2 linked regions of the Xenopus tropicalis genome follow. The protein of the gene in region 2 purifies or fractionates together with the protein of the main gene of each other region. This does not show direct contact. Links are inferred from orthologs where the notes say so. Each region holds a gene or a part of one and is shown on either strand. Other genes may lie near its edges. The genes, in order: c1qbp and neurog3.

What was found.
Region 1: the proteins of neurog3 (region 2) and c1qbp purify together in Homo sapiens (affinity purification with mass spectrometry; 3 studies listed by BioGRID and IntAct, counting the BioPlex papers as one, with this or other methods). This does not show direct contact. The link is inferred for Xenopus tropicalis from reciprocal best matches to the Homo sapiens genes NEUROG3 and C1QBP.

What each region holds. Positions count from the first base shown.
Region 1 is NC_030678.2:105,097,921-105,102,192, forward strand, and holds the start of c1qbp (complement component 1 Q subcomponent-binding protein, mitochondrial), read right to left. Parts: upstream 3,127-4,272; 5' UTR 3,002-3,126; coding exon 2,791-3,001; intron 1,892-2,790; coding exon 1,741-1,891; intron 362-1,740; coding exon 274-361; intron 1-273.
Region 2 is NC_030683.2:45,189,348-45,193,155, forward strand, and holds neurog3 (neurogenin-3), read right to left. Parts: upstream 2,380-3,808; 5' UTR 2,164-2,379; intron 1,799-2,163; 5' UTR 1,798-1,798; coding exon 1,117-1,797; 3' UTR 587-1,116; downstream 1-586. UniProt on the Homo sapiens protein: Acts as a transcriptional regulator. Together with NKX2-2, initiates transcriptional activation of NEUROD1. Involved in neurogenesis. Also required for the specification of a common precursor of the 4 pancreatic endocrine cell types.

The sequences.
Region 1 (4,272 bases), on a different chromosome or scaffold from region 2:
ATGAAAAAAAAAGTTTTAATGTCAAATATATATGCTACACAAATGTAATTCAGAGACCAAAAAACTGAAGTTGCCATTGAATTTGATCTAAAACATATTATACTGATCAGAGATTTTTTTTGCTGATACAGTAAAAAATAGCACCAGGCTCCAACTTAAAAATATCCTTGGCCTATGCGCCTAATCAACTTTTGTAGAAAATAGCAGGGGGCACACCTGCATAATATTATATATAATTTGAAGTTCAAAAAATTTAGAAAAGTTCAACTTTACCTCATTCTCCTCAGCTTTCTGACCTTCTTGTGGCTCCTCATTAAAACTTGGTGGAATGCTATTGTTTGTGTTGAAAGTAACTGCAATCCTAATAAGACAAAATATATTTTCCAAGCTTAAGTAATTATAACTGATGCTACTTCAATATGTTTACATAGGATTTCACCAGTCTACCCACCATGCTGATTATATTGATGTATTTGGCCATTAAATGGTTAGCTGGTAATCTATAAGCTGTCACTACACTTAATATATTTTCAGACTCCCAGAAAATAAGTCTTAATGGGATAGAGGCACATTCCAGGTTTTAACAGGAATATATAAACCCTAGTGCTGTTATTCTTTTGTAATGTATGTGCCCACCTGCCTCCTCCAGCTCATCCCTTACTAACTTGCATGGCTTGAAGTTAAACATCTTCATGAGTGACAGCACACTTGGGGAAGGGACAATGTTCTGATAGGCTGGAGGACAAATGTTAACATCTTGCCTACGAGAACATCACCTCATCCCCACAATGCAATGTAAACCAAGAAGGAATAGGAGCAACTTGGCCATCCAGGAATATAGTCAACTTGCACCAATAATCACTTATATTTTGACACCCCTCAGTGATTATGCCTTTTCCTTCCAATTTAATTTTCATTCTCATTTGTTACTGCCTATTGCAAAGGTAAAATTAAGAATCATAAATCAGGTATTATGATAATGTTTCCCCTGAATTCCTTGTCTTGTCTTAAAATATTAGTGGACTATACATGAGCATGTATAGCAGATTATTCTGGTTTTGTGCTTAATGTGAATACATTACAATCGTATTCTACTGCACTTATATCTGAGGTCCAATGTTTAATCACTGAAGCAAGAATATGTTTCTTAACAAAATGCCTCTACATCAACCCAGGAAGATGAATTGGGTCAGTAAAAGAACAAGTCAAAATAAGTAGGTTTTTTTTTTTAAAACTCTGTACAGCCCCCAGAACAACATACCTTTCTCTCATCCAAATTTTAGTTTCCCTATTACAGTCAGTTCAACTACAGCATTTTTAATGACCTCCTTGTCTAGGGGGAAGCCCCCTCCCCTTTTTGCTTTCGGAGCACTCCTCTCTCCGACTATGACCTCATGCCTGATTGATTTTATTGTGTGCAGAGGCAGTGAGCATGCCCAGTAAGCACCTCTTTAAGGTCTTCATAGTGGAAGAGAGGAGAGCTTAGAAAGCTAAACAGGGCAGAGCTTCACATTAGACAAGCAAGTCAGTAAAGGAGATGCAGCTGCTTGTAATACAAAAACAAAATCAATTTTCATGGTTAAAACGTGTGTTATTCTGGGGGCTGTTTAGAGTAATTTTAGGGGATTAAAAAAATAAGGCTTACTTAAGAGGACAATATAATTTTTATCTCAAGTGGCAGATTCATCATATCATTTAACTATATGCTAGGATATAGGCAACCATCATTAGTACACTTACTTTTCACCTGATATTTTTCTGACCAGTTTAGCCTCTGTGCCATTGATGTCTAATTCCCACCCACCAGACATTTTGGGAAGGTTCTTATGTTTCTGGATCTTTCTCTCTTCTTTGATTTCATCTTTGAGAAATTCAGCAAATGCCTTGTCACCTACAATAAATATAAAAAATAAATCAACACATTTTAGGGGGGATTTGAAGCTTATTTTTCAAAACTGTGCATCAGCTTTCAGACTTCTAAAGAAACAACTTGATCATGCACACCTATTACACATTCTATACTACTTTTAAGAATTAAGTCTTTATTTTCTTTGAGAAAACGGGACATAGCAAACGTATCCTGCAAATGTAATTTTTTTTTGTAATAAAGTGAATATATTGTACTTGCCGATAACTTATATGTCTATATCTTACATTTTTATTCATGTTATACTGTTTGCAGTATCTTGTTTGGAATGAGCACTAAGGTAGTATATAAAACAGTTTTGGTTCCATTGGGGATGACTTACAACTCTGAAAGTCACACATGCAACATCATTCAGGAATTACACTAATAAATCATTTCACATCTCAACAATGACACAATAAAATATTTGTAATGTGCATATTCCTGCTTTATCTGGTCCCATAGTATTTTAGGATAATTTAATGTAAAATACCATCTAGGCAAAGGAAACACTGACCCGACAATGTAAAAAATATGTCCAAAATATGACACAAAGCCTGCATACTTGAGAAAGCTCTAGTGAAGAATTACTTGATTCAAAACAATTTACAGAAAGGTTATTTTTCATATATAATGAATCTCATATTCATGAAATAAAATGATTTAAAAAACATTTATATTATAATCTGATATCGAAACAAGCATTAAGAAAAACAAGCATTTTCAGTATGTGGATGTAGGCATACAAATGTCTGGGAGGCAGACGCGAAGAACAGACAAAAAATGTACATCCATGTCCCGAAGAGCTCACAGTTTAGTTGTGGAATGGTACCAAAACCCTGCCTTACATAGCGCACTAATGTAAGGGCCAGGAGAGCACTTACCCTCAGTGTGCAGTCCCCCACAGCCACAGGACACGGCCGGGAAGCCACGTTGAGGATGCAGGAAAGTCTGCCTGAGCCCCGGATTCCCCCCGAGCAAACATAATGAGCGTGAGAAGGATCGTCCGGTGCACAAAGAGCTCAGCAGCTGTTGGGGCCGTACGGCCGCTACCCGTGTGGCGGATAAGAGAGCTCGGGACAGTGTGGAGAACATGGTCCTGCAGATACCCACGTGTGTGTGTGACAAGAGGACACCGTGACACCCCTGACCTTTCACCTCCCGAAAAGGAGGCGGAGCACAGGAAGTGTCGTCAAGGTCTCCTTGGCTACACGCAGAGGTCGCTGTTGATTGCTTCTGTCTGTAAGGAATACGTTCGGAAGAGAAACCTTTGTTGTATATAGACGTTGTATTGTAACGCTTGAAATGAGAAATTAGAATCCAGTGGTTTACTGGTCACATAGACTGGCAGCTTGGAGAAACACAATGCTTGTACTTCTGAAGGGTCATATTTATTATAGTTTTGTGTAAGCCAACATTACCGGAGATGTTACCCTGTAGCAACCAATCAGTAGCTAAAGTAGTAGTTAGAGAACAAAAGCAAAGCTCTGATTGGTTGCTAGGGGCAACATCACTGCTGATGTTGGCGTGCATATTCTGCCCCACTGTGTACACCTGAAAACACCTTGGCTGAAAATAAATACAATAAATAGGACTCGAGCTGAAATGGCATTCTGCATATTGTTTCAGTTTAAAAAAAAATAAAAATCTTATTTTTTGCAGTTATAAAGTATGACTTTGAAATTTGGGTTATTTTTACTCAAATAAGCCGCTCTTTTCTTCTAAACATGGTTGTTTGTTCAAAGCTCTCCTTCTACCTGAACAAACAAACAGCTCCCGTCTGTAAGCAGCTGCCTTTGAGGTATATATCCTAATATGGCTCCTGGTTGTAAAGCCAGTGTACATTCCTCTTACTACACTTTACGGACACTTTAGCAAAATATTGGAACAGCACCATGTATTTGTAGATTGTAAGCTCTTTTGGGCAGGGCCCTCTTCACCTGTTGTATCAGTTATTGATTGCTTCATATTTTACTTTGTATCTCCACTGTATAAAACCCACTTATTGTACAGCGCTGCGGAATATGTTGGCGCTTTATAAATAAATGTTAATAATAATAATGTCATTTTTCAAACTAAAATTACTTTTTTTTTTTTAAAAATTGATAAGATAACATAAAAGTGGGCCCTCTGGTTTAGGGGGGGCCTTATGTGCCAGTGAAATCGGGCTGGTTTAAATTTACTGTGGGATTGAAGACCACATTGGCTTGTCACTGTGGCCCTTGCTCTGACGACTTCTAGTCTTTTCATTGTAATTTAATGATATATAATGATAGAATTAGCCCAATATTGCCCACCTTAGTGCAGTGATCTGCAACCTGTGGCTCGTAAGCAACATGTTGCTCACCGACCCCTTTGATGTTGCT
Region 2 (3,808 bases):
GGGAGTCTTTTTCGTCGATTTGCGCGAAATCGCGCCGCCGCGTCTGCCATCCCGCCGGCGACTTACATGTTCGCCGGTGGGATGGCAGGGGGAAGGCAACTCGGGGAGATTAGTCGCCCGCGAACAGGGAGTTTTGCCGCGGGCAACTAATCTCCCCGTGTACCAGAGCCCTTATATTGTTCAGAGGGCAAGTGCTACCAGTTTTACCAGTGGACTATATTGTCATTTGTGGGCAGACCCTGCAAGGATGGAAATATCATATAGCACTATTAATTACAGCTTACACAGACATGCATTTTTGTGTTAATGTATACATTCTATGAATCACTTCTTCCATAAAGCATTTTCTGGATGAAAAAGGTTATTGAAATAATTATTGTGATCTGTTTGGAATCTGTCACTGGAGGATAGTAACCTGCATTAGGGGATAAAGGAGAGGGGGATACAGAGACAGTGTACATGCATTGAACATCTTTTTGTCTCCTCAATGTGCAGCATTAACATTGATTTTTTTTGTATTGTGAATAATTTGTCTATTTATATTATAATACACATACAAATAAGCACAAACAAACAAACCCATAGATATATTTTGTAAAGAAACCTTTATTGCCAGCATTTTTTAGTTCAATAATCCTGGCTGGTGTGAAAAAAATATTCTTATCATTTGTACAAAATATATATTTCTTATGACTTAAAAATAATAAATACACTGAACAGCAAATTATATAATTTAAGTACATTGATTATGGGAAATCATTTTGTTTCAATGCAGCATAATATTGACAGAGCTTGTGTAGCCATATACCAGCCATAACAAACAAACAAAAAAAATCAGTATAAAATTACACGATTTCCACACTAAGAAAAAGTTGGAGAAAATACAAAAGTTGGATATAAACGTATATAAGAGCTCGTCAAACTAAGGGGCAAAGGGTGATTAGTATACAAAGTGCACAGAGTAGAGAATGCTTTGTTAAGGCAAATATGGGAAGAAGAGAGAGAATATAATTTAAAGGGAAGGCAGATGCGTTAGGTAGCTTAGTAGTGTGGCTCTATATGGTGAGAGTCCCACACGAGCCAATGGGTAGGAGCAGGGGAAGCTGTATGGCAGCTTTACACAAACTCTGCTGCTATTGAAGTGCTGTGTCTTAGGCAAGGGTGGGACTGAGGCATCAATTCATCCATGGAACCGGTGGGGCTGAGGCTACTATCCTGGAACAGTGGGGAGTACAGAGAGTCCCATTCAGTCGAGGAAGTGCTGCTGGTAGGGCTGGAGAGATCCATCATCAGGCAACTTTTGGGGAGCTTCTTTAAGGAGTCCAACAAGTGCTGCTGCTCGGGGCTGAGGAGGCTCTGGTCAGCCATCCGGAGAGTTTCCGACAGAGCCCAAATATAATTGTGTGCAAACCTTAGGGTCTCTATCTTGGTGAGTTTGGCATCATCTGGGAAGGTGGGTAGGACACTTCTCAGTGCATCCAGAGCTGAGTTCAGGTTGTGCATGCGATTTCTCTCCCTGTCATTGGCTTTCACTCTGCGATTTCTCCTCTGTTTTATGACAGTGGTGTTGCTCTTTACCTTTGATCGCATTCGCTTCACCTTTTGCTTCTTTCTCTCATTCCCCCTGGGGTGGGAGTAGCCATCTACCAAAGTGCAGTCTTCACTTTCTGCAAGGCTTAACTGGGAGTCTGGGGTGCAGGGGGGTGAGAAAGGGGGCACTTCATTGTCCGAAATCTCGTAATAAAGCTCTGACTCGCTTCTCCTCTGCATATGGGGACAGTCACTCTTGGGAGACATCCTGTAGTATCCAAAGGGAAAAATGTTAATTCTAACAAATCTAAACATTCCAGTATTCAATGCTCAACAGTACAAATTCTTTTTGTGCGTTAGTATGCCCGAGTTGTGCAGTCAGTACACAACATGATTGCTTTTACAAAATGATACATTTTAACATCCCACCCTCAGAGTCCAAAGCTGTTTCACATTTTATGGGCTAGAGTTAGTGCCAAATATCCTGCCAAAGGTACTGACTGTAACTGTTTATATCCAGTATAATTACTGATTTTCTGCACTTAATCAACAGTTTGTATCCAATATAGTTGCTGATTTTGATAAGACAAGTAACTTCAAAGACAGTTTGAAATTGTATGTACATGTACATACCTCAAAACCAAGACTGTGGGTTCTCTGTATGTTGTGTGTCCTGCAAGGTGAGCTGCCTGCCCTGTCCCGTTGGACAGAAGGGTGCGAGGTAACTGTACAGCTGAACTGTGTGAGAGATGAGCAACAGACTTTCTCACAATCTTTATATATGCAGCCCAGGACAATGCTGATTTGGTAGTCAATACAAAGCATGCCCCCTTGGCACACGTTATCTTATCAGTCCTCGTGTGGAGTGTGCCTGGATCACTACAAGCTGGGAAATGGCCAATCAGAGGCAAGAAAGACACACGACCCCCCCCCCCCCCACACACACTACCAGACACACAGCTGGAATCCCATTAAGGGCTCAGTGGGAGGGAGAAGGGCTCCCCAATGTGACACAATACTGTTAGTCCAGCACTTCACAGCAGTATACACAGACAGATCACTTTGCACAAAGTTTGAGAAAACTGAGAATCCTCCCCATTTATTATTCATTTTTGTGAGGCTTTAGGGGAGGCTAGAGAGAAGTCCCTCTGTGTGGGAGAGATGTTGGTGGCAGTGAAAGTGCAGACAACACTGCAGGCGTCTTCTATTATGCCTGCAAGTTTTAGTGCTGCTGGTTTTGCCATAAACCTTTAGGTCCTTGTATAGCTGCCCATAAATCAGATTGGCTGGAGAGTCAATTTGTAACCTCCCTCCCTCCAGTCAATCCAATTCCTGCACAGATTTACAGAGACTTAAACTGTGATGGAAAAATCAGCAGCATCGTAAGGATGTTTTACAGAGTGCTGGAGGAGTAGGTGGAATTTCTATTACGTTTATGATGCAGGTGACTTGGGATGTAATTATCCCCATTCCTAAACTGTTGGTGCAGTATTAGGACAGTGACACACGGGAAGATTAGTTGCTGCGCGACAAACCTTATACAAAAGGAGGGGATGGCAAATGTGGGGGTGGGATGGCATACGCGGCACCGCAATTTGCCTAAGTCGCCCAAAGTTTCCTCTCAAGGCAACGTCGGCGACTTCGGCAAATTGCGGCACCGCGTATGCCTTCCCACCGACGATTTCCATTCTAGCCGGTGGGATGGCATTGCGGGGAGATTTGTTACGGCGCGACTAATCTCCCTGTGTACCCCTGCCCTTAGTGATCTTAAGCTGAAAGTGCTGTTTTATCTGCTTCACCTCCTTCCCCCTCCAAAACACTGCTAACATTGACAGTAATCCTACAGCCCCTGTATAGTTCTGGCTCTGCAGCATCTCCACCAAGAAAGCATTAACCCTTCTCTTGCAATAACCAGCCTAGTTATCAATTGTTAAATATAAATACTCCATGTGGATTAAACATCCACTGTGTCACTAAATATTATGTGCTTGGGGAGTAAGCACTGCCTCTTGCAGTATGTAATATAAGTGGTGTACCAGTACCCACTTACTCTGACTGTACATAATGTGCTTGGGGAGTCAGTACCTACATCCTTTTAATAATTATGTGCTAGTGGTCAGGACCCATTACTGTTATTGTATGAAATAAATGTGGTGCCATTACCCATTTCTCTCATGGTACAATGACTGAGAGCATAAAAATATTTTTTGATTGTCCAGCTTTGAAATCACTGTATTCCACAGTTGTCACATAAAAAATGCGTATTGCTGAATTTTCA